Linked DNA regions of Tamandua tetradactyla. The protein of the gene in region 1 purifies or fractionates together with the protein of each later gene. This does not show direct contact. Links are inferred from orthologs where the notes say so. Each region holds a gene or a part of one and is shown in the gene's direction. Other genes may lie near its edges. The genes, in order: COP1, ETS2, ETV4 and ETV1.

Region 1 (7,766 bases):
TTCTCCCTTTGGTCTCAAAGCGTAGATGTGGTCCTAAAATACAGACAATGTCTTCCTTATCCCTGTATTCTGAATTACCTTAAATCGGGACCTGACTGGCTTTGTTTTTATCTCTAAATACCAGGTAATAGATACATAAAACAGCCTCTCAAAATCCAGAAATAATAATTACCACTCCAGACTAAATGTGTCTGCCATTAGAGCTTACTATTTAGGCCCCTGTTTTCTTATAAGCATTTTCTAAAGGAGGCCACACAGTAATTGTTCTTTCATTTCTGGCTTATTTTGCCTCATCAAATGTTCCACATGGTTGCATGCCTCACAACTTCGTTCCCTTTTGTAGCAGCACAATATGCTATCATATGTATACACCATCATTCGCTAATCTACTTCTGTCATTGCATCCTTCAACCACCTGCATTCATTAGGCATCATGTACAGTGCTCAAAGTCCACAGTGTATCAACACTCTCAATTTTAGATAATTTCATTATTCCTCAGAGAAAGATAGCCAATTAACACACCCTCACCAAATAGGAAATCTAAACCTTCCCTTAACTTTTGTCCCTCCCCCGATTATTTACGCCTGCTGTTGCTGTGGTACTGCTGACGTTTTCCTGTCAAATACAATGGAGTTCTTTTAACTATTAAACCTTGCTTTTTACTTAATCCTTATTTACATTTTTTATTGTTTTCTCTCCTCCTGTTCTCTATTTCTTTTCTCTTATTTTCAGTTGTCTGACTTCCTTCTCTGTGTTTGTTTTTGCTATGCTTCCTCTTTTCTCTTCTGCTTTCCCAGAAGCTTCTGCAGTAGAAACTGTTTTCGGAATATAGTCTGGTATATTCTGCATTAATCTGGTATAAAAGGGAAATTCCATTGCATTACATCCCTTCAGTTTTGAGGATTTAGATTTTTATTGAAGATAGGTTTCAAAGTGGAAATACTAATCAGTGTTGATTTTTTTTCCTAGGGGACTCAGCTGGGGTCATATCACTTTCTATCATTTGAATAAGGAAGAGAGACTGCTTCACATATTCCTTGTAACTCTCCCACATAATAAAGTAGTGTTTCTCAAAGGGTTGGTCACCTGCATCAGATTCACTTGGATGCTGGGAAAAATGTATATTTGTAGACCCTATCTCAGGTTTATAGAGTCAAAATCTCTAGGGTGGAGTTCAGCAATCTGCAATTTTAACAAACTCGCTACATAATTCTTCTCTGCACCAAAGTTAGAGAGTCACAGAAGTAATAATATGTTCAACAAGTATGAACTATTTGAAGATTGGTATACTATTCCAGTTACCAGATAAAGGCCATGGATTCTTCTGCCTGCTGTGCTCAATAACCAGTTCCTGAGACACCAGGGTTTCAAAGAGAGAAAGAGTTTATTACTAGGCACGTAGTAGGAGAGCAGATGTCCTAATGACCCAACATTTGTCTTCTAGAACTGCAGTAATTCGGGTAGTTTTGTTAGAGAAAAAGTAACCAGGGTTTAGGATAATGAGCAGAGTGACCCCAGATGATATAATTAGAGGTGATGTGATTATTGAGCATGTGCAGATTGATTACATGCTTAGTCACAGAACACATGAAGGAAAATGGCGGAATGAGGTATGGGTGACTTGTAGGTTAAAGCCCAAGCTACTGTGCATGTCAGATGGACCCACTTAAGGTTAAATCTGGTCTCAGTCATCAAGATAATTTGGGACTTGGGGTGGTTTAGTTTCAGGCGGACCCAAGACTTCATTAACAAACATTAAGGGGCTGTCTTTAGTGATTCCAAGACTCTGAAGTTGAAAAACTAGATAACCAGGTACAGATGAAGGTTAGTCATAAAGTTTTTACAATCACAGGGAGAGAAGATAAGGGCTATACAACCGTTACTAGAGATCACGGCAGCTGGATTACAATTCAGAGATTTCAGGTATTTCCCTGTCTATTCCAATATCAGAAAGCTAAAAGGAATATTTATATCAAAATCATCCCTTAAATCCTGATTTCTCGGTTACATTCCGTTACTAATTTCCAAGTATTTCTTGCATGTGCCTTAGCCCTGCAGTTTCAGTCACTGCCTGAATATACTTACTTGAATGTTTTTCATCAGCACATTCCAACTAAATTATCCACTGGAAGTCTCCACTTCTGTCATTGTACTACTGCTATCCCCAGAGTAATTTTTGGAATTATTCATTTCTCTTCATGCTCTATCATTTTTATTTAACATATCGAGTACTGTGCCTAAGCACTGGGAAACACAGAGATGAATAAAACAGACAGAGTCATGCCCTTGAGGATCTTAAAGATTGTTTTAGAGTAACTTAGTCCTATAGATTCCATAGTTTGTTTTTTTTTCTTCCAGAATATTTCCTTGTCTTTCCTGCTACCATCCAAGTCTCTTATCACGTATGCCTGGCCTGCTGTAATTTTTCCTGATTCGTCTATTTGCTCTTAATTTCCCACCTCTTCTGAAAGATTAATCTGTTGATAGCTCAGTATTCTTCAAACAACGTTTTGAATACTTTCTTCCCCCAACTTGTACCTTCATTATTTCCAATTAACTAAAGCATATTTTCCAAACTGGATACTGGCCTTTTCCAATCTGGCCTCCCAGATGAATTTCTCCTGAATACATTCTAGATATCTATACTTGACATAGCATTTTTACTTATTTTTTTGCTTTAAAAAAACAGACTTTTCTTTAAAGGCCTAACTCCTTCCTCCAACAAAAATGACTGTCCCTCAGTACTTGCTCTTGCTTCAGTTCCGGTAGTTATTCTGTTTTACTCATTAAGCATTTAGCATGTGGTCTTTGGTATCATTACTTATTATTATTTTTTTGTATATTTCTCTATTTCCTCAATTATTCCATAGGCTTCTTGAATGCTGGAACAATGTTTTATACACTTCGTTGTCTCTTCCTTGCCCCGTCCATGCTTAATGTCATTCAATAAAGTCATCAAATTCATTATATTCAGTCATTTATGTATTCCATCATCAAATACTTAATTGAATATCCACCGAGGACCAAGCTGATCTTTGCTTTCATGGAACTTCAGTTTAGTTGGTAAGACAGACATTGAACAAATAATTAAAAAAAAAAATGAAATGGATACATTTACTCATTTGTTAGTCAACACTTAGTAATCACCCATCACAGGCCATGTTTTGTGATCCATGTTGGTAGTATAATACTGAAGCAGATGGTAGGGAAGAATCACATATAAACAACTAAAATACAATGTAATAAGTGCAAACATAACATCTTGGCAGCAAAAAGGACGGCCCTATTATCTGTCAAGGAGAGTTAGGGAAGGCATCACATTTCAGTTGGGTCTTGAAAGTGATTTGAAACAAGGGATTGCAATATTTTTGCATGAAAAGGATGGTTCTTAGAAAACTGATAACGCAATTCCTATACCATTACTCTGAGCAGAAACTTGAGCTAAACCCAAGAATCTTGGAATATGAGTGAGCAGTTTAAGGTTGAATTGGAAGAGGGTGTCTGCCATCACTGCCCAGCTGGGCAGCGAGGTTTGGGTTGCTGGATGAACCTTCATTCAGGTTTGTCCTTAATCCTGCCCCCCGGGCCACAGACAGTCAGGTAAGTATGTCGTTTCTCCTGTATGTGTCTTCAACACCCACGACACAATTAAATCTGGGATTCTTTCCTCTAAGAGTCATAGAATGATAGAGTTGGAAAGGATACTAAAAATCACACAGTTCAGTTGTTTCTAACTTACATTCTCTAGAATTTTGGGCATTCTCAAAGTGATAAGCAAAAGTCTGCAAACAATTTTCAATATTCCACAACACCTAAAAGATATTGCACATTTTCGGGTGCCAGGTTTCCCTGTTCTGTGCCAGAATTATATCAGGCCCACATTAAACCAAGGTTCTGAATAATCTATTGTCTGATTAAGTATAGTTCGTTTCCCATAATTGTTATACTCAACTTGGTAAACAACTTTTCAAAATATAGGCGTGAGCTCACAGTCGAACCTGTAAAACTGGTAACTGCTACAAGGTTTGGAATTCACGAAGCACTTTTTACTAAGTTCATCTTACTTTCTCACAACATCATCGAATAGCTTAACAGCAGAGCCCGTTGGCCTGGAGTCTCAGTTTACTGATCTTTCCACTGCTCCGCGCTTCACGTTTCCCTTCCGTGTGCTTACAGCACCTTCATCCCTAACTGGTAAGGCGCCACTGAGTCACATCGTCTGCGTCGCAGAGGGCAGCGACCGCATCGTTCACACCCAGGAGGAATGCGGCTCGCTCCCACGCATGCGTGTACAGCGACTTAACGACTGCTATACTCTTCTTGGTCCCGAGCTGGGACACCCGGGCAAACCCGCAAGGGTCTGCGCCCAAAGCGCGCGTGCGCAGTCACCCATAGCGCCCCCGTCGTCCCCAGGTCCTGTAAACTACCTCGCCACTCTTTACTAATCTGTTCACTCTCCTCAGCAGTTTCACTGGATTAAGACGCCTTCCCTCCAATATGTCAGGCACGAAAACAGCTTTCGACAAGGGATTTTTCCCATTGCTAAGCGCCCAAGGCTTTGGTGCGCGCTGAGGGTCGCTCGGACTGTGTGAAGTTGTATTCCCCGCCGCTCCCGCCCCTTCCGCCGTCCGCGCGCGCGCACGGCCGGCTCACGGCACGCCGGGGTTGGCTGCGGCTGCGACCACGGCGGCGGCGGCGGCGGCGGCGGCGGCCTCGAGAGCGGTAGTGGTTTCTACTCTCCTTCATTAGTTTCCTCCGCCCCCTCCCATCGGACGCTGTTGTGTGGTTGCCTTAAAAAAATAACTTTATTGTTCCACAGCCCCACCTCCCGGCGTGCGCGCGTCCTCAGGATGCACTGAGGCTGAGCGGAGGGCAGGCGGCGGCCGGTCGAGGTCCGGGTCCCTCTCCTCCGAACCCCGGAGGAGAGGGAGTCACGATGTCCGGTAGCCGCCAGGCCGGGTCGGGCTCCGCTGGGACTAGCCCTGGCTCTTCCGCGGCCTCCTCGGTGACTTCCGCCTCCTCGTCCTTATCCTCCTCCCCGTCGCCCCCTTCCGTGGCAGCGTCGGCGGCGGCGCTAGTGTCCGGCGGGGCGGCCCAGGCCGCGGGCTCGGGCGGCCTCGGGGGCTCGGTGCGGCCTGTGTTGGTGGCGGCTGCCGTGTCGGGCAGCGGCGCCGGGAGCGGCGGCGGGGCGGTGTCCGCGGGCCTGTCCCGGATCAGCTGCACGGCCAGGCCCAGCGCCGGCGTAGGTGGGAGCAGCTCCAGCCTAGGTAGCGGCAGCAGGAAGCGACCTTTGCTCACCCCACTCTGCAACGGGCTCATCAACTCCTACGAAGACAAAAGCAACGACTTCGTGTGGTGGGTTTGAAGAGTAATTCCTGCCTCGCTACCTTAAGAGTATCTGTTGGGGTCAGTGAGAGGGTGGCCTGCCTGAGAGCTTGGGATACTGGTGCTCTTATGGTGGTGTCAGAGAGATGGGAGCCAGTAGGTGGTGGAATGGGATGATGGGGTCCTGAGGCAGGGTGGGTAATGAAAAGATAAGTGCAGGTAGGGAGGAAATGAAAGGAGTTTAGGGAATAATAAATAAATGGGAGAGAAGAGATAGAGGGTCACATAAATGATAGAAAAAAGGATAAAATTGGGCAAGCAGGTTGAAGCTTGCTTTTTTCTGGCCAACTTGTATATTAGGTACCCCAGATCAGTTTTATTTCTTGTTGAGGTGAATTAAGTTTGTACAGAACAGAGGGATGGAATTCTGTTTTGGAAGTATGAAGTTGCTTATTGGAAGTATTGTGCATGGAGCTCTAAAAAAACGGGATTGAGGCTGTTTTAAGGGGAAGTAGTATTGAATATAAATATCCACCGTATGTGTATGTGTGTTTAGATACAACTTCTCACATTTCCAAGTGCAGACCACTTGCTTTTAAATCTGCTTTCGAGGCTACTGTAATCAGAAAAGTCTGTTCATAAAAAAAAAAAACTTCTTAATTGAATGTCTTGAAAGAGGAACTGTATTTATTAAGTACCATCAATGTATCAGGCAAACTGTACTATGCTTGTAGAACACAGTGTAATACAGGAACTACTAATTTGAGAAACTCTAGATATTGGAGACTTTGTCGTCATAAAAAAAACAACGCAATGTTTTGTGCATTTTGAATGATACACAGGGATATTAAGTCATGATATTTGACATAGAGAGATTACCCGTATTAAGTTAGAGTTGTCTAGCGATAGGGTTTGGGATTTTCATTGGGCTTTGGATATTGGTAGGATTATGAGAGGATTGTTTTATAGCTGAGAACTGGTAGGATTTTGTCCTTTTCCTCTGGAGGAAATTGTTGATAGGCTTAAGATACTAGTGATGTAAGAAGTTGGCTTGTGCTATTGGAGAAGTTGATTCACTTTTCAGGGTTAAAGATAATCTTGAGTTGGTGTCATTATATGTGATAGAGCTAGAATTGGAACTTAAAGGGAAGTTATTGGTAAGACTTTCAGGTTTTAGCTCCTCCAGAAAAAAATGTGTCTACTCATATTTCTGCTTTAGTCTTAATTATTCTGGATTAAAAATTAACTCATTTTTTTCATTGAAATTCGTCTATAATTGTGATTATAAATAGTTTGAGCAGCTTAAGGTTGGGTGTTTGCCCTCATGCCCAGTAGAGAGTGCCATATGATAAGGTAGAAGCTAATATAACAAAGTGGGGGTTTGCAGAATTTAGTCATTTCAGTTACCATTTACACTTCACTTTTCAGGTTAAAGAAAACAAATGCCAGCATCTGTATATGTATACTAAAATAGTACAAAAGATGTAAGAAATAAAGAAATCATTCATTCAACAAACATTTATTTAGTACTCATTGACAGGCACCATATGAGTTGCATGTACTTTAGGCCATTTTAAAGAGATTTGGTGAGGACAGGGGACATAGAAACAGCTGGCACTGATTTTTTAAGGGCAAGATTATTAAAATTTTTAATAGTCATCACCTTACTTCTAAGAATTTTAATCCACTCTCGAATCCTAGCCATATTCCTTAGATTGTTCTGTTTTCTTTTATATTCTAGTATCAGTGAGATTTTTCAGTTAAAAATTCTGAATATTTCAACTTCTGGGAGCTTATTAGTCCATTATTTGTTTTTCTGGTGAAGTTGAATAATGAAAGAATTAATTAATGGAATCTGTTTTCAGTTTCTCCAGCCAGTTTTGATTTTGGCCAAACCCTTTGGGTAGGAGGACATGGATTGGGCAAGTCTTTGCAAATCCTTTTAGTTTCTAATTGGCTGTAGGTAGCTTGTCTCTCTGGTAGGCCCAAGGGTTGAAGTATGAACCAAATTGCTCTATGCTTTTTTTTTTTTTTTTTTTCACATGGGTAGGCACCAGGAATCGAACCCGGGTCCTCTGGCATGGCAGGCAAGCATTCTTGCCTGCTGAGCCACCATGGCCTGCCCTGCTCTTAGTTTTATATCTACATGAGGCCCAAGTTTGAATAATGATGATTATTCCTTATTTATTTATCATATATTTTTGTATCTCACATCTCGTTTTATTCTTAGAGCACTTCCTATTTTAACATAATACGAATTTAATTAAATTCCCATTAAGTCACAGACAAGTTAAGTAACTGTTTTAGATCAGACAGCTAAGGGACAAAAGTGAGAACTCGGATCTTCCAGTTCTCAGCTTAGTGCTTTCTTTTTATGAAATCGTTAGTCTGATGGTTCTTAAATCGGGCAAATGAGAGGAAAGCAACTGTTTCTTAATGA
Region 2 (7,764 bases), on another chromosome or scaffold:
TAGCTCAGTTGGTCTGAAATAAGGTACTAAAAAATCATAAACATAAAGTGAGGGGAGAAAAACACTTGTAGCAATTGGAAAGCCATTCCCAAAAAGAATCGATGCAACTGAAACATTCCAGTTTTCTTATGATTTATTCACACTCCAGCTTAAGTCTATTACATATTTAGCCTTAAACCTTTAATCCATGTTTTTATTTTGTTGCCAAAAGTGGCATGCGAATTAACCTTCCTTTAGTCATTTGCTAGACTGACGGGTTCAATAATGACTAACTCCTACTTTGGGTGAAGACTAGGGGTTCAGTTTTCCAGTTTGCAAGATTAAAAAAGTCCAGGCTCTGTGCATTATGTAGTTCATCACATACTGTGGGAGTCACTTTGTGATTCAGAAAAATCACACCATTATAAAATCACATATTTGCACAGGGCTGACTCACCTTTCAGACACATTTATTTAGGGATTATCAGTTTTACAGAACACAGCGGGTCTCTATGTCTATTTTTGTTGTTCAGACTTGCCTAAAGCATGTCATCATGCCGTTTCCTATCACGGTGGATTTTAAAGGTGGTTTGTACACTCCAAGAATGCTGCCTTATAAGGGAGAGGACAGTGCCAGCAGGTGGCTGGCGGAGCTGGTAGGCAGTGCCAGGAAATAGCCACACAACCACGGGCAAGGAATCGATTCTCCATGGGCCTCAGCTTCCTTCTCTGTAAAAACAGGAGCTGGTCTCTGTTATCAACTCTCTAAGGTGTTTTTCCAGTTTTAAAATTCAGTGTTTCCTTCTCTGGTCTCTTACCAGGGAAAGAAAATTATAGTGAAAGAACCATCACCTCCAATATATGCAGAAGAGTCTAAAATAAAGCAGTGTTCAAAGGATGAGTGAAGAGGATGTAGAAAACCGGCCTCCCCAGGGTCAAGGGAGCCATTGCTTGTTTATCACATACTCAGACTGAACTACGTGCCAGGGGTTTTCCTAGGGTGCTTGAAAAATATTAATTCATTTAATCATCATGACAGCCCTAGGAAAAAAGTACTGATATTATCCAAACTTGACAGATGATGAGCCCTTGGGGCAGATGAGGCTGCCAATAGGCAGAAGGCATTCTAGTGGGACCCGAGGAAAAGTTTTGACCTCCAGGATCATCCCGTATTTGCAATTCTGAGGAAGCACAAAGAAAAGAATAAAAGCTTCCTGCTGCTGCCTGGTTTGATACCTCCCTGTTAGGAGGCTGGCAGGCTGCTGGATTCCTGGCATCTGAGCCCTGCCTGCAAATGGGCAAGAATGGAGGGTCAAGTGGCCAGGATAATAGTTGCACATATATTTGGATTATCAAACTTGTCTTTATCAGTTCCTTGACCCCAACATACATCACTCGAATAAACATTATCCCTGAACACCTCCAAGAGCCTGCAGTGTAAATAGTCTACCTAGAAAACACAGGTGCCAGAATACACAGGAATCAAAAGATTTCTATCTCTAAGGGCATTCTTTGCCTCCCCAGCCCCCTACCCCCAGGATTTTTAAAGTTCCATTATTGTGTGTGAATTTTACCACACTTTGTACTTCATTCTAGTCTGTATCTTCACCTCATCAAGGCCAAGGACCAAACCTTATTCATCTTTGCCTGCCCAGCACCCACCACCATGTTTGCAGAATGAATAAATAAAGGATACATCACAGACCAAATGACGTCTGTTTAACTTGCAACTGGAAACCCCCACGAACTGTGCATCAGCTCCACTGATTTGGATTGCAAGGCAAATAATGGACGCGTTACTAAGAAACGTGTTTTTTAAAATTTATCTTCAAGGATGATTTGGTAAACTTTTTCTGCATTTTACATCTTAGGTATAGAGTATACATGCACTTATGCGTTTCTATCATAATATCCCTTTTCCTCTTTTCTTCATGAGCTTCTCTCTATCTTAAGAGAAAAGAATTAGATGGCTTTTAAATTCAGCTTGATCTAAGTGCATCTGATCATTTCACCCCGGGTGCCTTCTGACTTCTAATTTCCTTCTAATACCTTTAACTTTTGATCTTCAGGTGCAAGTGCTGTACATTTATAAGGTTTAATTGACTGCGAAGCCCAGCGTTCCTTGTGAATCCTGCTATAATAGTCAATGAATAACCACAAGGCTTCAACCAGGCAGGGTTTGAGTTCTGCTAAGTAGCCAGGAAACCAGCTGAAAACAGGAAGGAAATATCAGGAACTCCGATATTGCCCCAGAACTAGTATATGCCATTTTATTAAAGGCGTGGAACCGCCCAGGCATAGAGGGACAGTGGCCGGCCCAGGGCAGGGGGGCTGTTTGGATTAGCCCAGGGCTCCTTGGAAGGTGAAGCAAGCCAGGAGAGGGCCCTGGAGGGAGTCGAGACACCAGGCTTGAGGAGGCGCATGAGGGCGCCGTCATCTACCGGCACTCCCCAGGCACACAGCCCAGCTTACACCCCTCCTGCACCTCTTTGAGCCTGCATTTTGTGATCTGTTTCTGACAGATCCTCTGAGATCTGAGAGGGTCCGGATGGTCTGTTTTATGCATAGGACAGGTGTTTTTTCTAAAGGGTTTTTCATAAAATGCTCCCAGAGGGGAGCTTGGAGGAAAAAACAAACTAGCTCTCATGTTGAACTTTTCTCTACCACATACTACAACACTGATAAATTATTTACAGATTCAGCCTAATGTCAACTGCTCACCCCAGCCTCGTGACATAGGTCTCTAACCACTCACTTATTCTATTGAAGAGAGAACTGACCCTAGAGAAGTAAAATAACTGGTTCGAATAGTCATGAGTTAGCAAGCCGAGGAAGGCCATCTCCAAAGTGCTGTGCTGCTTCTCTCCATCTCTCTGCTCAGATGCTGGAAGAACCCAGCACGGACAAAGCACCTCCTCTCAGCTTCTGTCTGTACCAGTGAAAGCTGTCGCCCCAAAAGTCAGTGCACCTCAACAACTTGGAGAAAGCATGAGAATCCCACAGGCACAGAAGTGGGAGCTGCGGGACAAGGTGGCCCACTTTGGGCAATTGGACTTCATGAAACGCTGGCACACCCAGCTTCTCAGACACTAGCTAGGTGTAAGTGAGTAGTCTGGGGTGGGGGGTGGGACCCCTATATTAGTGAAATCACAGCCCTGATGAGTCAGTGTTTTTCTGCTGTACGTTTTTTTTTTTTTTAAGCAATGCACTCTTCACATCTCCATGGCAACTTACCATGGATCTGTATTCCGTTTATGGAACATCTTGACCTTATCTGCTTTCTGATCCAGGCCATCCAGTCAATTCCGTCACCGAAAAATACCGCTCTCCCCTGCTCCCTGTTGTTCCAGGTGTGCAGACTCTGTCTCTGACACAAGCTCTGCTGATACCTGGAAAGATGTCAGTTAGCCAGCTAACCCCAGATCCAGAGCTGTCATGGAAATCAGGGCCGCTGGATAACACAGAGGCTGGGCTATCCTGTTCACCTCCAGCCCAGTCCTTGAGATGCACTTTCAGCCACAGGCCCTTGCCTGAGCTGGCGGGACTTTTCTGTTTCATACACCAGCAGGAATCAGAACTTTCCTCCACAGCATCGGCAATCTGACCTGGAGCCTAAATAGGAAATCCACACATTGCTAGCCATGGACTCGAGTGCCTTCTGATAAAACATGGAAACCAGCAGCATGAGTGGTGGGTTTGACCACAAAGCTTGGGAGTTAGATAAACTCGGGTTTCAACCCTGAATTTCCCATCTGCCTTTTACAACCCAGCTAGGGATTGCCTCCAAGATTAAAGTCCCCCCACAGGTACAGCGGGGATAAGCAACCCCCACAGGCATTTCAACCAGAATGCTCAGTGAGAGTTCAGGGCTTGATTCAGGCACCGCCCAACTCTAGGGGGCGCCACACACACGGGCGCGCTAAGAATGGGGCTCCCCAGGGTTGTGCAGAGAACATCCACTTTCACGACTCAACTAGGTGACCCCCCAAAAACTGAACATTCATAACCTCATTTGGAGACTTTTCATGAGAGAACTGCCAGAAATCCTTCGTCCCGGAACCGGGCCAGCTCAATCTGCGGCCTCTCCATTCGGGCTGAATTCGACTGCCAAGCTAGGAGCTAAAGCCTTGGGACGGCCGGGGAAAACGGATCCCTCCAAGGAAAGACTCTTGGCCTGACATCCCAGGGCGCGCGCGGGGCCGGGGATCCGAGCCCGGGGTCCAGCTCCAGCCCAGACCCTGCGGCACTGGGACAGCGGGCGCCGGAGAGAGGGCGCCGGGAGGAGCCGGGTGCTGGCCTGCGCTGCACTCCGCCTTTCCTCCCCTCCTCCCCTCCTCCTCCGTCTCCTCCTCCCCTGCCTCTCCTCCCTCTTTCCTCTCCCCTCCTCCACGTCGGCTTCCCCTCCTCCTTTCCCCTCCTCTCTCCTCCTCTCCCCGCCTCTCGGTCCCTCCTCTCCGCTCTCCCCTCCCTTTTCCTCCTCCCCTCCCTCTCTCCCCTCCCTCCTCCCTCCGCCCTCCTCCCCTGGCTCCAGAAGAGCGCGCCGCAAGGGCCACAGGCCGGCTACTTCCTCCAGCCGCGACGCGGAGCGCGGTGTAGACTTAGTCCCAGCCCCAACACCCGCTCGCCCACCCCGGCTCGCGCCCCGGCCTCGCCGAGCGCCCCCACCCGCGCGCGCCAGCCGCCCCCGCCGCCGCGGCCCGGATCCGCCGCGCTCGCCCTCGCCCTCGGCCTTCGCCCAGCACCGGGCGCCCATTGCCCAGCGCGCACCCCGGGAGCCCGCAGGCCCGGAGCAGCCGCAGCCGCCGACTGCGCGCCGGCCCTGCCCGAAGCGGCGCGGTAAGAGCGCGGGGTCCCGGGGCTTGGGCCGGGAGGGACCACCTGCGGGGCCGGGGTCCCAGGGCTCGGGCGGCGAGGGGCTGCCTGCGGGGCGGGGGCGCGGGCCGGAGATCCACACCTCCGACCCCCGTGGCCCGAGGTCTGCGGAGAGCCCCCTCCGGCTCGCCGACTCCTCTCGGTGGTAGGGGGGTTTCAGAAACTGGGCGGGGGTCCGTGGGCAACACCGAGGTCTAGATGCCGGGAGAGCCCGGGGTCAAGGTGGGGGTGGCGGCTGCTCCTCGAATTCGAGGTTCGCGCGTCCGAGCTCCGCTGGGGGCCAGTTTTCCGGGTTCCCGGGTGGCCTTCGGAGTGGAGGGGCCGACGGGGGCCTCCGCGGGCCGGGCGGCCGCTTGTTTCATTTCTCCGGGGCTTTGTTTCTTAGCAGGCGACGCGGGCCTGGTGGGGTTTCTTTACGGGGGTTCTTGTCCTGTGGGTGCCCCGCGGGCTTGATTTCGCGCCGGGGCTTGGGGACGCAGGAGGGAGGGTGGCCGCGGTGGCCGCTAGCGCGCCCCGGGTTTCATGATGTCTTACTAGGGCGCCCTATTGTGTGGAGCGGCGCGGGACCCGGAGGGAGGCTCGTATAAGCCCCCTAGCAGGCTACGGCACCCCGAAATCGTGCCGGAGCCCGGGGCCCGGCTTCCTCTGGCCGCCACGACGCCCACCGGTCACCTGCTCGGCCACGTCCAGGGTCCCGGCGGGGGACGGCGGGCGAGGGAGGTGCCAGAGGGAGTTGGGGTGGGGGTGGCGCCCTCCCGTCCTGCTGTTTGGGCGGGACTCCCGAGGGTGCCCCCTGACTTGTGGATCGGGGCGGGGGGTGGGGGTAGGCTCTTGGTCCTCGGGGGGCGAGCTTGGCAGACGGGGTGGGGGTCCTGTTGGAAACGTGGGTGTGGGTGCGCCGGGCTGCCGTGAGGTTCTCTTTCCTGAAGCGTTTTGAATGAAGGGATAGCTGAGCATTTCTGTGTGTGGGTTTGGGATTGGGGGTTAGCTGGTTTGAGGGCACATGAGGCTTTTTATGTGAGACTGTACTACATTTCAGAGTGCTCTAAGATAGTAACTGACCTGCTTCTTTTTTGGAAAGTAAAGAGGTGAGCTGTCCACCTGGGGGGTGGCAGTAATTTATTTTAATGCACCATTAGGAAGATTGTTCCTTACAATGGAAGTCGGTGTGTTGTCTGCCTGCCCACATCACCAGCCATCACCAAGATAAATCTCCAGGTGAAGATTTATTAAAGTTCTGAGTAATCTCACAGTACAGCAACGTGTGTGTCCCCCTCGGGGAAATATTCAAACGCTCATTTCTGGGCTTAGTCATTCCTCTCTCTAAACTGGTGACTTTCGAAAGCGAAAACAGCAAAGGGGCCTTCCATAGTGGGTTACAGATTTGTTTGTTATTTCCCCGCAATTTTACCTTAATACAAGCCTGCGTTCTAATCTTACGTAACTGATCACTTCTCCCAGTGGGGTGCTGTGGTCAGGCCAGTTCTTGTTTTGAATTTTGACCAATTCTAGCCATTCCATTCTGTCCTTATTCCCCCCACCCCACCCCCTTTTCTTTTTGGTTCAAAAGGAGTGATCCATCCAGCAACACCAGAGGGACCTACATTTGAACTTGATTTATGTGGTGAAACTTGTCACGTTGACAAGCCATGTTGAGGAAAATAAATGAACTTAAATTTGATTAGTGATGTGTCTGCCTGAAACCATTTAGTAGAGCACTTTGATTCTGCATGGTTTTTACAAAACTCATTAAAACCTGGACAACAAAAGAATTCGGCTCTGTAGCTAGCAATTACAGCTCTTTATGTGGGAGTGGTGAGCTGCCTTTCGTCCTGGTATTTGTACACAAGAGCCAGGCAGAGCCCTTCCATTGCCTTCCATGGTCTTTGGTCTCTGGGAAGCTGAAACCCGGAGAAGCAAGCCCACATCCTACAGACCAAACCGGGAACAAGAGCTGTCCTCCCGGACCCTGCGTGGGTACCAGGCAGCACCCAGGGGGTTGCCTTTTGCCCTTCTGCCACAGGTAGCACGCGTGATATCATCCAGCCCAGTGACATCAGGCTCTAAAGTTAAAGAGGATTGCAATCTGGGGACAGGTGTGCGCTGTCTCGGAGTGAGGCCGGGGGCGGGCGAAGGGGCTCTTCCTGACACGGGGGAGGCAGCTCAGGACTCAGGGTCACGCACAAATGTGCAGATAAGATTTGGGGTCCTCCCTGCCCCTCGGTGACCCCGGAGTATCTCTGGGATCCGGGACGAGTTCGTGGACGCTGCTGCCTCAAGGCGAGATGGGCTTGCATCTGCCTCTGGCGTGTTGGGGAGGTTTAGGAGGTAGGGACGTGCTTGGCCCTAGCAGGCCGCTGAGTCTGCATTCTGCCAGCGGGCGTCGCCAGCAGCGGGGAACACTGATACTTGAGTCCCTGTGGGTGATAAATTCAACCGAGAAGAGCTTCTGAGCAGAGGAAGTAGACCCAGGAACCCCTCCCCCAAGCCCCACCCAGAGAGCTGTTTATTATCAGTAATCTAATTACCTATAATCCCAGGGTTTTAGCAGCTCTTTCTGAAGCCTCTCGCCTCCTCCCACACTGCCATGTTAGCCTAGGGGTGTGCGTGTGTATGTTGTGTGTGTGTTTGTGTGTGCACCCCGTGGGTGGCGGGGTCTTTGGGAAGTCTGGTTTAACTGCAAATACTGACCATAAAGAGACAACAGGAAAGCACAAACAGAATTAGTTATGTGCAAATATGCAATTTGCTATCTCCAGTAAGTTGAGCAAATTCCACAGTATTTTTATTACTCTGAGCTCTTGGTTGTAACAGGTGGGAGCATACAATGGAGAACACAGGGTAGGGCGAAGGTATGAGGGGTGCCCCGTTTATGGCTTTGGGGTGCCTCCATATGGCTTCAGGGTGCCCCCA
Region 3 (7,117 bases), on another chromosome or scaffold:
CATTGATTGAACTACAGTAATGCAAGATGTGAATAATAGGGAAAACAAGAGTAGGGGGTGAGGTGGGAGTGGAGGTGAGTATATGGGAACCCTCTACTTCTTGCCTTTTTTTTTTTTTGTAAATCTAAAATGTAAACCTAGAAATAAAGTTTGTTGAAAAAAAAGACATTAGTGTAGGGTTCCCTAAGGTTGGACTGGGTTACAGACCTGTTCTGTAAGACCCTGATGGAAGCTATGGAACTTCTTCTCAGAAAAATGCACGCGCATCTGCATACGCACATACACAGGTGCAGGCGGTTAGTACAGGGGCTTCACATCAACGGACCCAGGTATCGGAACCCCTGCAGTTCAGAGGGATTGATGTGAAAGTGGGATGGTGACAATGTCAGAAGGAAGTTCAAGAGCAACTCTTGTATTGCTTGGCCCTGACCCAGTAGCCCATGAGGAAGACCCCCAGCGTCCCCCACCCCACTACCTGACCCTGCTCTCTGATTCATACCCAGTGACAGCTCTAGCCTGGGAGACACTACAGGGACACAGGGCACCACTTGACCTTGTTGATGCCACCCATCAGGATTTTCTGAGCTGTCTCCCAGGGCAACCCTCTGAACTTCACTCTTTAAACTTCTGTGACTCTTAACTATCCCAAGTGCTAAGGAAACCATGCCCACAGGGACCTTTCCATCCTCTCCTCACAGTTAGGCAGGACAGGTCACCCACAGAATGTCCAAATCCAACCCTCTGCCACCACCTTCACTGAAACCTGTCCTGGAGAGAGCCTGCTCTTCCCAAAGGCCCCTAAGCCACCTGTTGTCTGATCCAGATGCCTCAAAATCCTTCCTCTCCTTTCTCATCCCTGGGTGCTGATCTTCCAGCTCTCAAAGCAAGCCATAGGCTTGCATATCTAACACCCACATTTACATTTTATAACTTAGACTCCTGGGAAACAGATCAGGGTCCAGCCCCCAATATACTAGCAGAAAGGATACATTTCCTCCCTACCTGTGCAGCCTCTACCTAAGGTGTGTTGGAGGGTGTCAGGAAGTATGCTGTATGTGTCCTCCACGGAGCTGTGTGTCCGGGAGGGGCCTCCCAGCACCCTGAATCTGGTGTGCTCTCTCTGGCTCAGGCATGTGCTTCCCCTGGCCTGCCGTGTGTCTGTTGAGTCGGTTGCGTGTGTCCTCAGTCTGTTGTGGGGGTCCTTGGAGTAGATGTGTGTTTGTGAGACCTCTATTTCCTCAACTCCAAAATGTGGGTGATCTTCATGGCGCTTACCTCACAGGACTGCTGTGAAGGTTGCCACAGCTGAAACAGATTGAACGCTTACAACAAGGCATGGCATACAGTAAGTGCTCAGTAAATGTTGATATGATTCCCAAAGGAAATCTCCAACCTATCACATTCTTTTCATTCCCTACTACCCCGGAAGAGGTTTGAATGCTCCCCTTTGAAGATGTCACTGCACCAGGCCTGGGTGTTGAATCAGGGGCAAAGTGACGGCAACAGCAGTAGGGGCAGTGCAGCAGTATCTGTCACTCAGCGGGTATGAGCATGCTGAGCTGGAGCCTGGGAAGTCCCTCAGCCTCTGCATAGCCTGAGGAGGATAGGGAGAGGGGAGGGGCAACACCACAGAGCCAGAGGCCCTCCCAGGAAATGCCACAACTCAGAACCAGAGGAGCATTCGTTAGAGTGCCCCAGCTAGAGGGCTTGCTCAAGGACACTCCAGATGAATCTTTGTTGGCATAGACACAATGTCAGCGCTGCCTTTGCAGAAGAACCCTCTGTCCTACTCCACCTCTCTTGGCCCCAGGACACATGCTCCTCCTTAAACTGGTTCCACCCAATTCAAAGCTGGCATTTGCTTGGACTTGTCTTCCCTTCCTTGGGCAGGGTTCTTACTGAATTGGATTAATTTGCTGTTTATTGTATGTATTCACTGAACAGGCATTTCATAGGACCCTCATTAGCAGGAAGCAGGTTAGGGGTAGTGGTGTACAAACTACAGAGGTGAACAAGACCTCTCTGGGCCCTGGAGAGCTTGCCATACATAAGGATGACTGTACGATGAAGCAGAATGAAGGACATTCTTGCCAGAGATATAGACAAGGATGCTGTGACAGCCTTAGAGATCTGATTGAGGCTGTGCTGTAAGGCTTCCTAGAGGAGAGGAGCAATAGAGATGAGCCTTTAAAGAACATTTTAGCAAAGAGAGGGAAGGTTATCTTTATTTGCTCAAGATGAGCTGGTGTTCGAATGAGCCCTGAAAGGTGCCAGAGGTTTGAAGTTCTAACCTCAGTTCTGACAGTGACCAAGTGAAAGACCTTGTATGGGTCACTCCCTCCTCTGAATCTCCACTACCTCGTCTGCAAAGTGGGGGGATTAGATTAGATGAAGTTTTGAAAGCAGCTCCTACTGGCTCAGGGTTTGGCCAGTCTCCTGTGTTTGTTGCACACAGACAAGAAGCAAAATCGGCCTCACCTCAAAGAATACCAGTGCATTTTGTAAGATAAAAGGCCTGGGGTACTAGGCCTTTTACCCCACAGCTGCTGTCCAAGAATCTCAGTCCTATCAGACATCTATCTGTCTTGGTCGCAGCTGCTTGCGTACTACTCAACACTGTGTCTGGCATAATAAATGTTTATTGAATAAAGTGGTGAATGAATGAGATGTCACAGGCTGTGACCAAATTTTTGGCCAAAACCATACCCAGTCCTGCCCCCAGAACATCAGACCCCTTGGGGTTTTGCTCACTAAATACCCCATGCTTGCTCTCAAGATGAGAGGAAAGATTGCCAAGAGCAGCGCTTTCAGAAGTCTACCATTCTGTGACCTCTGGTTTCCTGCTGCAATCAATAGAAACTGGGTCACAAACACTCCTGCAGAGCACAGACCCTTGAGAAAAAGCCTAGATTTCATGCCAACTTACATTTATTGAGTGCCTACTGTGTATCAAATGTTGCAACATGACTTAACTCATTTAATGGTGGCTTCAAAGGTCTGTACAGTACAGTAGGACGGGGTGGGGGTGGGGTGCGGCGAGTTTGGGGGCCGTAAATCCCAGCAGTGCTTTCTAGCTAGCTGAGTGAACTGAGGCAAGTCACCGCACCTCCCTAAGCCTTCATTTTCAATTTCTGGAAAATGGAAACAATAGACCCACTTCACCCTGTTTTGGGAACGAATGAGTACGTGGAAGCCGAGCTCATCATAAATGCGAGTTATTATTGTTTCTCTGGACACACAAGCCTCCCTGTAGGGCACACACAGAGACATGTTCACACTCCCACGTACACCCGGATGCAAAGAGACGTGTGCAGACGCCAGCCAGAGGCACTCGCGGCATCTCAGAGCCAGGGACCGCCGCGGAGTTTCTCGGCAGGGTCCTCGGCTTTCCTCTCTTCCTCGCAGCTCGTTATGAATGAACTCCGACCGCGAGTTTATTTTTTTATGAATGGGAGCCCGAGCCGTGAATGAAGCCGAGAGCCAGCCCCTGCATCCCGATTGGTCCCTGGGCTTGGAAACTCCGCCTCCCGAATCGGCCGGGCGAGGCTTCTGATTGGCGAGCGTGCCCGGCCCTGGGGTTTCATTCACAAAAGTCAATGAAACAAAGGGATCGGAGGTGGGGGAGTGGGGGTGGTGCCGAGGCAGAGGCAAAGGAAATGCACCAATTGGCTGCTCCCCCGGGCTCACAACTGTTTGCGACGCCCGGAAAACAAGCGGGTGCGCGGGGGTCGGGGGACCCGGGCGGTCTCACTTGGGCCCAACCCCGCGGCCCTCTCTGCGGGCCTAGGGGCATGCTGGCGACCCTCCCGCCGCTCCAGCACCGACACCCCTGCCTCAGGTGAGGCTGCGGGAGGGAAAGGAGGGAGAGCATCTGATTCCCCGCCTCGCCGACAACACACACCGCATTCTCTCTCACCCACCCGCCTCTGCGGATTCCAGGGGGAGTGGGAGGCACTGGCACTCGGGGTTGGAGGGGGCGCGGGAGTTGTGCGCGTGCGAATGGTGCGCGCTTTGCCCGCTCCTCCTCGCGCGCGCGCGCGCGCGCGCACACACACACACACACACACACACACACACACACAAACGTCTTATGTAACCGAGCTGGGGCAGAGCAGGGTTGCAGAAAGCAGCAGAAACGGGAGCCGGGTTCCCGGGAGCAGGTGGGATAGTCTTTGGCGGGAGGGGAGTGGCGGCGGCGCACCGCCCCGCGGGCGGAAACCTCCCTTTGGCCGGAGTGAGTCGGAGAAGTTTCGCCGTCGGATCCAGAACCCCTGGACTGCCCCTTCCCCGCCCCCGCCGCCCCCACTCCCCTGACCCACCCCCCGCAGCCCTCCCGGGACAGTGTGCGAACGCAGCCCCCTCCCCCACTCCCAGGTCTCGGCCCCCGCGCGGGGCCCCGGCCTTGCCGCGGGAGGGAGCGGCCGGATGGAGCGGAGGATGAAAGGCGGATACTTGGACCAGCAAGTGCCCTACACCTTCTGCAGCGTGAGCGCCGCGCCCGCCTCCACGCCCGCCCCCGCCCCGCACCCCGCCCCTGCCTGCCCCCCGACCCCCTCCCCGCGGCCCTAGCGGGGTCCGGGGCTACCGGCCTCTGGGTCACCCCGGGACCCCAGCCCCGCTCCCGGGACCGAGGGACCTCCACCCTCGAGTTTGACCGGGGTGACTCGTGGCATTCTCCCCCTTCTCCTAGAAATCGCCTGGAAATGGGAGCTTGCGCGAATCGCTGATGGTCCCGCAGGGAAAGCTCATGGACCCCGGCTCCCTGCCGCCCCCCGACTCCGAAGGTAAAAAAAAAAAAAAAAAAAAAAAAACAGTGAGACACCCCGCGACCCGCTCCCAGACGCACACACTCCCGAAGCTGATCCTGGAGCCCCAGGCGGTTTCCCAAAGGGAACTCGCCCTCCAAGGGACTCTGGTTGTTCTTCTCTACACTTCCTCCAAGGGACTCACCGGGCTCCTTGGAGCTCCTCTTTCACGCTCCCCTCCACCTCACCTTCTTCAATTCCGTTTTTCACCCCTCAGATCTCTTCCAGGATCTAAGTCACTTCCAGGAGACCTGGCTCGCTGAAGGTGAGTAGTTTTGTGACCTTTTCTATATTTGGGTGTGGGGGGCTTTCTGGCCACTTCCTCTCTCCCCTTCCCAGTCTCAAGTGGCTCCCGAAGACCCTCTCCCCCTATCCCTTGCCTCTCAGCTCTCCCAGCGCCCAGTGTGGACACTTGTATTGATATTTATTTTCTCTGCCCTGAGCCAGGCTTGTGTAACTAGGCCTGGGGATGAATCAGACCATTGTGTGGGGTATTTGCTTATTTGAATGGAACTTGGCCCCAGGCCCGTTTCCCTGGTTGAAATTTTCATTCGTAAAGTCTGTTTGGCAGCAGTTACCAGGCAGGCAGAGGTGTGTGTTGGGGTGCTGGGGTGTTGGGGGGAGGGGAGGACAGTAGGATGGGGAGAAGGAACAATTAATTTGCTGCCCATCTTCAGGAGTTGCCAACACATGAATTCTCACCCCCCTTGATTTCCCTTCTTTTCAACCCTCAGCACCGAGCAATTTACTATCTGAGCCAAAAGAACAACAAAAGTTTAAATAATTCTTTTCTGCTGCACTTTGGCAAAGAGGGCCCAGGACCTCTTCCCCAAATAGCTTGATTGCGATTGCAATTCTAATGGCAACTGCCCTCTCTCCTCCATCCCTCCTGAATACCTCCCGCCCCCAGGCAAATACCCTTTCCTGTGTGCTGGGGGTGGGGGTGGGGGGGGTGGTTAGCTCCGAGCTGGTTAGGGTGGTGTTAGTGACTGGGCCTTGTCTGGGTGGCCAAGTGTGTTTTGGGAGTCTCCTGGTTAGATTTGTTGGTTTTTTCGTGGGGCCTTAGGGTGTCATTTGTGGCGCTGCAGGTGGAGGCACAATAGTGGGTTAGAACAATATCTGAGAGGGAAGGGTTAATAGTCCCTTCTCAGGTTCCCTTTATTTCAACACTCAGAAAACCAAGAAACCAAAACAGTAGGAACCCCAACTTTGGAGGCTTTTCTTTTCCTTGGGTTCTCCCCATCCCTTCACTTCGGTATTTTTCTTTAATGGATTTTTCTTTTCTTTTTTTAAATCTCAAACCCAACTCCTCAAACCCTTTATGGATTTAGGGTAGAAGGAAAAGTCCCTTAACTATGATCTTTGGGGTAAGACTAGGTCTGTCTTGGACACTGTATTATCCAAAAAATATGTGTTGAAAGGATAAGTATTTACCATAGGGAAGTACTCGACATTTTACAGAATTAATAGCTGAACGGCTGGAAGAGATTGGGGGTATTGTGGGGCTGTTCCCCAAGTCTGCCAACCCTGCAGCCCACTCACAGTCCGGCTCACAGTCCGGGGCAGCTCTGCCCACTCTGCCCACCCTCCTGCGGGGTGCTGGAGCTAGGCTGGAGCTGAAGAGCACAGAGGTGTCAGTTTCCCTGTTCTCCCAAATACTTCTTTTCCCATCTGCCTGCTTGCAGTTTAGCTCCCCCGGCTCCTGGTGTCAGCTGAGGGTTCCTGCACTTCCTACAGTGGACAACTTGGGGTGGGGGGGGGGGGTCTGTTGCAAGTGGGGAGTGCGTTCCGCTTGGAGGCTGATGTTTTGGCAGCACCTGATCCATTTGTGCCTGGATTTGGGTTGGGATGGAGAGGAAAATGTTCTCATCTCCTCTCAACCCTGGAAGCCCCACCCATGGCTGTTAGGGTCTAGAGAGTGTACATGTGTCTGTATGTGTTGGTGTGACAGTGTGTCGTGTGTGTGTGTGTGTGTGTGTGCGCGCGCACGCACACGTGTGTGTGTGTGTGTGTGTGTGTGTGTGTGTGTGTGTGTAACACGCCACTGCCCTGGGAGCCCCTGTACATTTAAAGCCAGTGGGTGGGGAGGTGGGGGTGGGGATCGCCAAGCGGAGGAGGAGGTGGTGGTGGTGAGGGGGCTGGGATCTCCTTGGTTCCCTCTCCTTCCTTCTGAGGGAGCGGCTCAGGTCCCCAGCTGGCGATGGATGGCCAGGCCTGAGGGGGGCATGCTGAGGCCGTTCGCTCCTTCTCACTCTCTCTGCGGAGACAGATGCAGCTGCCAGGGCCCTGTCCCCCTGCACCGTCCCAGCACC
Region 4 (7,679 bases), on another chromosome or scaffold:
AAATACTCTAAATACAAGGGAAAGACTTCTCATTTGGACTGGTTTAAAGAGAGCACATTGAATAAATATATTTTATTTCTAAACATTCATTGAAACTATATAAATACATTTTCATCTAGTATTTATTTGCAAAAAAAAAAAATTAAAAGTAGAAAATTCGGATTTGGTATAGCAGAAGTATAGTTTTCCCAGAGGGTCCTAATAAATGTATTTCATAATATGACTTTATTTCCTTTGACCTATGTACTATATTGGCCATTAAAAATATTAATAATAATATAGACAGAACCTCTGTAGCACTGGAGAAAGTATTTGGCTAGAAACAACAGCTAGTTAGCTCTGAACTATCCTTAAGTTTTCAAGTCACTGCCGGTCAATTTAGAGTTAGAAATTGAAGCTGATTTGAAACAATCATCTAAACCTACTGCTTTCTTTCTTTTAGAGTATATAGAAAGAATACCTTTATCAAGTGTTAAAGATGTTCCCGTCATGGGAGAAAATACCCCTTTTTTTGTCTAAGAATGTTTACACTTCTGCATTAATTAGTGCATGCACATTGGAACAGTCATTTTCATGTTAAAAGTGGATGTGGTACAAAACCAGGCTTAGTGGACTCATGATTAGTTTGTTCCATGGTCTGACTCTTTATTTTAAGGATTAAACAGAACACCATTATGCGAAGGTAGATTTTCTTACTACTTTACTCTTATTTAAAATACATTTTAAATTTCTTCAGAGGAGCTTTAGTTCTAACCCTTTGATTAAAAGTGAAATGCTCCAAAATTCAGCAACAATCTGTTATTACCTTATAATTAAGAAAATTTGAATAATAGGCAACACATTAAGATATTTCTCTAGTGGTTTTTCTCCTTCCTTTCATTTTTTCCTTCCTTCCTTTTCTGAACTTTCAGGTTACTGTGACAAATTTCCTTGTGAAGCAGGGTGGGTTAAGTACATATATATGTTCATTTCATCAACTCGTCGCTTATTTAAATGTGTTCCTTACTGGATCTGAGTTTGTATTTCAGACAGCAATAAAATTGGGGTGTTTATATTGCAAGTTCAAGTTTACTTGCTTTAACTCTTCGGAAGGGTGTAACATGAAAGGATTGCGGTTGAGCCACAGGGCGCAGGCTGGACTGTTTTGTGAATGGAGGCAGAGCCCCAGTCTGCCTGCTTGTCTTGAGGAATTGCTGAGGAGATCAGCTGTCTCATTCACGGGCAGAAAGAATGACTCATACATCTTCCGCCTAGTTTGGCTCCAGGTCATTGTTACAGTGGATAGAACTGGTTTTAATTAAATATTAACCCTTTTTATACTTGACATTTGTTTTATTTGTAATTTTTCTACTTTTCCTATCCTTAAAAGTAAACTCAACAGGTCCCTAGTTTGTAAGAAAAGGGGGGCTTTTACTTTCCTGCAGCCAACCTTGTAGAATATTTAACCATCACCTTTTCTTAAATAATTATTATTTTATTTGAAAGTTAAAAATAGGTAAAAAGTAAAGGCAGGTTATATTTAAATATTGCCTAGCCTACCCAAAAGGAAATTTAGTCACGAAAGGATTTAAGATTAAAAATGAGGTTAGTGATTCTTTGGCATTTAGATCATGATTAATAATTTTATGGATTTCTTTCCCATAGTGTGTATAGCTATGTAGTAAAAAGAGAGGGGGAAAATCAACTTTGCATAATAATCTAGGTAAAGCAAATAGCTGAGAGTGCAGATACTATCCTTTTAAAGCCTGAGACTTGATGGCAACTTGTCTATTAATGTGCAATGAACTGATAGAAGCGCTCCAGCTATTACCAATAAAATCCACATGCTTAATCTTCTTGAAAGCTTTTTATTGGTCTTTTGCTGTATACTTTCCCCTTCTCTTCTTCCTCTTCCCTTTCCTCCTTAATTACGTAGTGTGGGAGGAAGCATTTCGCTCCCAAAGGTGATGGTTTCAAGCACAGTTTATAATAGGTAGTAGTAAAAAAAAAAAATTGGGGGGGGGGATTGGCTTCTCTGTTAATTTTCAACTTTGGAGCTGGTATGATTTGCCACAAGTTTTCAGGCAGCTGTAGTGTGCTACTTCACAGAATTACTGTGGATTGGAGAAAAAAAGAAATAGCATGATACAAGTGCAGCAATGGTTTGTCATATTTTCCTTGCCCAAATCCAACTTGTGTTTTTAGTTAACTGCTTTCCTTTTAGTCTAACTTGAAATTAGAGGTATACTTAAGCCTTTGTCTATTTAAGTAGCATGCTGCTTCATTTGGTCTATTCAGTTTCTTAAGATTAGCTTCTGTGAAAATGTGAGTCATATGTTTTTTGTTAAAATTCTGTAAAATGTTCAGGCATAAGTGTGAAGTATTTATTCAGTATGTTAAGGGAGGTAGAACAGAAATAGCAATTCTTATTCTTACTTTTTACAAATTGTTGGTATGCAGCTATATTCTGTGTATTTGTGAAGTATAACTTCTAGATTCTTCTGCTCCTGAAGTTTTGCTTTTTTGTGCACATATCCCAACACACACCACACATCCATCAGTGATTTTTATGCCTTTCTTGTAGAGATTATATATATCACGGAGTTGCAATTTTGTCTTGTAATAGTAAGGGGAAAAAAAAAATCTGGCCTTTAAGACGTTCCTACCAGCATATTGAGTTACAAATATACTTTTGTAACTCACGAGCTATTTTTAACTATTCCTGTAAAGGGGATATTACAATTTTATTAGATTCTTGTAAATGTTGGCTTTTTAAAAGTATACCAGTTGCTATGGTTGATAATTTTGCATCTCAATAGTTATCTGTTTAGTTGTTAATTTAGAGGAAAATTCAAAACTTGGGGGATGATAGAAAAAAATATTCAGGACCCAATGTTATTTATTAAATACATATAAAATACTTTTGTAATCTTTTTGGTGTGAAGATTTATTTTAAAGGTAATTTATAAATCTAAGTGAAAAAAACAAGCACTGAAATGTCAAAAATTATGTTCTTAATAGCTAAGAGAATAACTAAGAGAATGAATGCATTTTAGTTGTTTTTATCCCTGTGCAGTATAATTAATTATATGTTACATTTTGTGCTATAATGATTGAAATGGATTTTTTTTGTAAATTGAAAGACAAGGGTGGATGGTAGCGTATTGGAAAGACAATAAGTAATATTCATTAAGTATCTTGCATTGTGTCTGGCAGTGCTTATTACACAGTTTCATTTACTCCTCACCAAAAAAACCCCTTATTATCACTATTAAACTGATTAGTAAAATGGAGTTCAGAGAGGCTAAATAACTTACTCAAAGTACACAGCTAGCAAGTAGTGAAGCTATGAGTTAAAGTTTTTCTGACTTTTAAGTTTTTACGCAGAATATCAGATATTAGTGAAATACAAAGAGGAAAAAATTCTCCTTGCAGTATATGCTGATCAAATAAGTATTGGTTATAACCTGAAAAATGTTTTAATTTGTTTGGTTTCATTTGGCAGCGGGGGTTATTGTGTATTTTTAGTAAGCTTAAGTATTGGTGTGAAGAAGAAATTTGTTAGAAAACAGCTCTATGTCAAACTGCATATATTTTAATAATATTAAGATGAATGTTTCATTGGTTATTCAGACTATTAATAATATACATTTTATTGTCACATACTTCTGTTTTTAAAAAATAATATGATAAACGGATTAAAAGAGCAACTTTAATTCTATGTTTCATTCTGTAAACTAATTTCTTTTTATACATAATTTTTCTTAATCCATTCAGTTATCAACTTGAAACATTTTCAACAGAGACTGCTTATTTTCAAAAAGATTTGTCCTGCAGAATAGGCTTGTTTTTTAAAAAAATAATTAATTTAAATTAATTTCAAGAAATTAATTTAAAAAATTAACATCTGACTTAAATGGATATAGAAATCAGTATTGTATATTACCAGTAAAATAATACTAGTTAATCAGATTATAGTCAAAGTTACTTAGAATAACTAATTATATTTTCATGAAATTAAAAGTAACCTAACTTCTATTTTATGCAGTTTGTGTCAATGTGTGTATTTGAGTGTTTGTGAAAACTGGGTTTAGTAATATTCTGTCAGTTGGTTATTGTGTTGTCTAAATCAACTGTGATGAAAACATTTTAAAAGTGAAAAGGTTTTTGTGTTTTGATTGCTGCCAACTGCATTAAATCCTTGCTATTCAGTATTTTTCCTTCACTAAAAATAGGGTAGTCATTTGGCATTACGACTGATGAAATAGTGACATTCTTTTTGTTAATGCTGACTAGTCACCAGGAAAATATTTTGCATGAAAAGATGAATTTTAGTTATTATTTATAATTTGTATTGGAAATGGTCATCATCATTGAAAACGGTTTTTTAATTTAAGAAACTCTGTAGCATAGCTTGGCCAAATTGGGACAAACATTTTTAACTGTAGTAGACAAATTTGCAATAAACCAAACTTACCCAAAGCATCCATACTAAGAAGTAGAGGGGTATGTGTGATATAACTGCATCAATTAAAATAATTGTTTAATTTAGAAGTGCTCCAGGCACTGGCAGTGGGTGACTTGAAATACCTTTTGCTCTATTCTTGCTAAAAGGCACTCTGCAGCTAGTAAAATTATATAGCTTTTCTTTTCTTTCTTTTTTTTTTTTTTTGGTGGGGAGGGTACATGGCCTGGGACTCCAACCCCGGCTTTCTGCATGACAGGCAACATTCTCCCACAGCAGCCGACACCCCCCTCCTATGGCTTCTTTTATTTTACATGTCCTTTTTATTTCCATCTGGCATGTGAAATTCAGAGCGACTACAACTGCCACCATTATATTTCTGGCATATATGTGTATATATATATATTTTTCCCTAGTTTACATCAATTATCTCCTCTATTTTCCCCTCCCAAGTGTTGCTTTCATTACTATTTTAAATAGGAGCTCATTGGCAAATAGTCATAGCTTTGATCTCAGTCTAAAATTTTCTTACTTGAAAGATCTTACTTGCTATTCTTTTGCCTTGGTGATTTCTCTCTTAATTTGTTATTATTATTTTTCTCCTCTTCTAGCTCAGGTACCTGACAATGATGAGCAGTTTGTACCAGACTATCAGGCTGAAAGTTGTAAGTATATAGTATATGCCATCTCTTTCATTTTTCTTTTCTTTTCCTTCCCTCCATACCCTGCTCCCCCTCTTTGGTTGGTTTCTACTTCCAGTGTCTGTTGTTGAATTACACCAGGGCCCTTTCTGTCCACAGTTACGGGCTGTTTTATTTGTCAGGTTGTGACATCATCACAATCCCTGTATGACATTAGCAGAGCTCTATAAGTAACCAAGGCCAACTGATTTGATTAAAATAGTATCCTGTTCTTCATATTGGGTAAATATTCCTGGAGCGGAATCAGTGTGATCCATGAGTGTGCAAGTGTTTACATCCAGTGAGCTATTATGTTCACAGGGGAAAAAATCCCATTTTGCTGTCATTAGTTAAAATCCATGAGATTATTTATTGAATAACTTATAAAAGATCCTAGATCAAATATTCATTAACTTATTGCACTGTTTTATTTTTACATGCATAATCTGTCACCTGCTTTGATTTAATTTTTAGCCTGAAGTTTTCTGTTCTCCATCGCATTAAGCCAAATGGAAGTAGCCATTAGCTTCTCAGCGTCCCTTCAGTTTTCCTTTTCCTGAGCCTTGCTCCAGGGTCAGCTTGTCAGAGATGCAGGAGTAGTGATTCATGGGTTACTGCCTCCCTGTCCTTAATTGCAGAGTGAGCATTTCGCCTGCACAAACATGGTTGCCTTGGGGCTTATTTTTGGTATTTATACTTTGCTGTTCTACCATCTCACTGCAGCGATTGACCTAAGAGTACGAATAGTAAAGTGTCTAGATGCCATCTTGATTGCAAAACTAGCCTAATACATTTGTGTTCTCCTAGCACCATTTAAAGCTCTAACTTGATTCTTTTCTCAGACCACTTACAGTTTCACAGAGGCAATTATCAACAGCAATAAGAGATTCTTAATACCTTACAACTTATCTAACCCATAATTTTATACCCGGGTATCATGAATTAATATAAATTTCTATATTACTTCAAGTAACACATGGTTGTGAGAAATGTTTTCTACTATATTTGGTGTCTTAAATTTCTCAGGTGTTGAGGGAGTGAAGCTTCTTCCGTATTTCTCCGATGTTAACCTTGTTTTAGTTCAGCTTGATTTTTAACCTGAGAAGAGAATTTCTTGGCTGTTTGATGACCGAATACAGGTACTTGGATATGCTTTCAAGAAACGTATTCAGCAGAGAAAACCCCTTTAACTGGAGACTGTTGAAACATTGCCAGAAGAGCCACAGCTATGCAGGGCCCCCCTTCTTAATTAAAGAGTGGGAAGAGAATGGCCACATTTCCCACATTGTCTGTCCTCTCTGTGGGGAATTTGAATTCTTTCTAAAAGCCAAATCTGTCATCTGAGTGGGAGAATGTCTCACTGAGTCATTTTATAGCTGAAGAAATTGTTAACAATTCCAATGCAATACCAAATGCTAGGGCAAAATAAATGACCTAAAGGTAATTTTTGAAATTCTTCTTATTTGAACTCTTTTCAGTTTTTCTTATTCTTGATCATGTCCTCTCCTTGAAATTTCTCTCCCCTTGGTCAGAATGGTGTGATTTTTTTTTCTTCCTTTCTCTTTGTATGCTCATTTGATTACCCCTCCTCACTCCATTCCTCTTGCTGACCTTCTCTTTGTGTACCTCTTCCTTCCCTGGGTTCTGTCCTCAAAGCTTTTGTCTCAGTTTACACATTCTACCAGCACTGTCCCAAAGACTTTTCTGGAACGATCGAAATGGTCTATATTTGTGCCTTCTAATGCAGTACCTACTCAACCTGATCGCCAGGTGAACACTTGAAATGGAGCTAATGGGACTGAAGAACTGTATTTTAGTTCTGCTTACTTTAAATAGCTCTGTGGGGGCGACTGGCTACTGTATTGGCCAGCAGAGCTCTGTGGTAGTTCCTCCTACATTGCTGTCTGCAGCGGGGTCTCCTGTAGCTGTGGACTGAACACCTTTACCTGATCCATCACTAGAATCCTAGACAAATTTTTAAAGATTCAAATCCTCGGGACTCAGCCCCACAGCCCTCAGCTTTGTGTCAGTGTAGAAGTTTTACACAGCGACCCTGAGCTTCAGCTTGGTGTTCCACGGAATTTACACTCAGCATGTCTAACATTGACATCATTACTTTTACTAACCCACGCTTCTCTTCTCTTCCTACTTCTTTTTTCTAAGTTAATGGCATCAACATGTAAGACTAAAATCTGTGATTTATCCTCAGTTTCACTTGGTTCTTTGCCATATACCTCAAGTTGCTTGTCAAGTCATTGATTCTCCCTTTCAAAGATATTTTAATTTAAAAATATCTTAATTTCATGACCTCTACTCTGTTTCACAGCCTTAATTCTCATCCAAATTCTACCTTGACTGAACTTATGAATCAACTTTTTGATTGGTGTTATTGCCTTCAGTTAATCCCCTTTTCCAATCAACCTATGTAATGGCATTAACCCACAGCTATTTGCCTGTTTTCGTCTTAAATTTCCATCAAGATAAAATCATCATTCTTTAGCAGTAAAGAAAACTGTTCTATAAATCTGGACCTTGACTACCTTTTCAGTGTTAAC

The links.
Region 2: the proteins of COP1 (region 1) and ETS2 purify together in Homo sapiens (affinity purification with western blotting; 3 studies listed by BioGRID and IntAct, with this or other methods). This does not show direct contact. The link is inferred for Tamandua tetradactyla from reciprocal best matches to the Homo sapiens genes COP1 and ETS2.
Region 3: the proteins of COP1 (region 1) and ETV4 purify together in Homo sapiens (affinity purification with mass spectrometry; 5 studies listed by BioGRID and IntAct, with this or other methods). This does not show direct contact. The link is inferred for Tamandua tetradactyla from reciprocal best matches to the Homo sapiens genes COP1 and ETV4.
Region 4: the proteins of COP1 (region 1) and ETV1 purify together in Homo sapiens (affinity purification with mass spectrometry; 4 studies listed by BioGRID and IntAct, counting the BioPlex papers as one, with this or other methods). This does not show direct contact. The link is inferred for Tamandua tetradactyla from reciprocal best matches to the Homo sapiens genes COP1 and ETV1.

Annotation. Positions count from the first base shown.
Region 1 is NC_135330.1:30,141,514-30,149,279, reverse strand, and holds the start of COP1 (E3 ubiquitin-protein ligase COP1), read left to right. Parts: upstream 1-4,752; 5' UTR 4,753-4,937; coding exon 4,938-5,356; intron 5,357-7,766. UniProt on the Homo sapiens protein: E3 ubiquitin-protein ligase that mediates ubiquitination and subsequent proteasomal degradation of target proteins.
Region 2 is NC_135336.1:103,035,247-103,043,010, reverse strand, and holds the start of ETS2 (protein C-ets-2), read left to right. Parts: upstream 1-4,748; 5' UTR 4,749-4,815; intron 4,816-7,764. UniProt on the Homo sapiens protein: Transcription factor activating transcription. Binds specifically the DNA GGAA/T core motif (Ets-binding site or EBS) in gene promoters and stimulates transcription.
Region 3 is NC_135332.1:23,857,192-23,864,308, forward strand, and holds the start of ETV4 (ETS translocation variant 4), read left to right. Parts: upstream 1-4,109; 5' UTR 4,110-4,160; intron 4,161-4,374; 5' UTR 4,375-4,425; coding exon 4,426-4,485; intron 4,486-4,690; coding exon 4,691-4,784; intron 4,785-5,022; coding exon 5,023-5,070; intron 5,071-7,117.
Region 4 is NC_135327.1:110,437,610-110,445,288, forward strand, and holds the start of ETV1 (ETS translocation variant 1), read left to right. Parts: upstream 1-4,663; 5' UTR 4,664-4,739; coding exon 4,740-5,109; exon of another isoform or gene 5,110-5,255; intron 5,256-7,679. UniProt on the Homo sapiens protein: Transcriptional activator that binds to DNA sequences containing the consensus pentanucleotide 5'-CGGA[AT]-3'. Required for olfactory dopaminergic neuron differentiation; may directly activate expression of tyrosine hydroxylase (TH).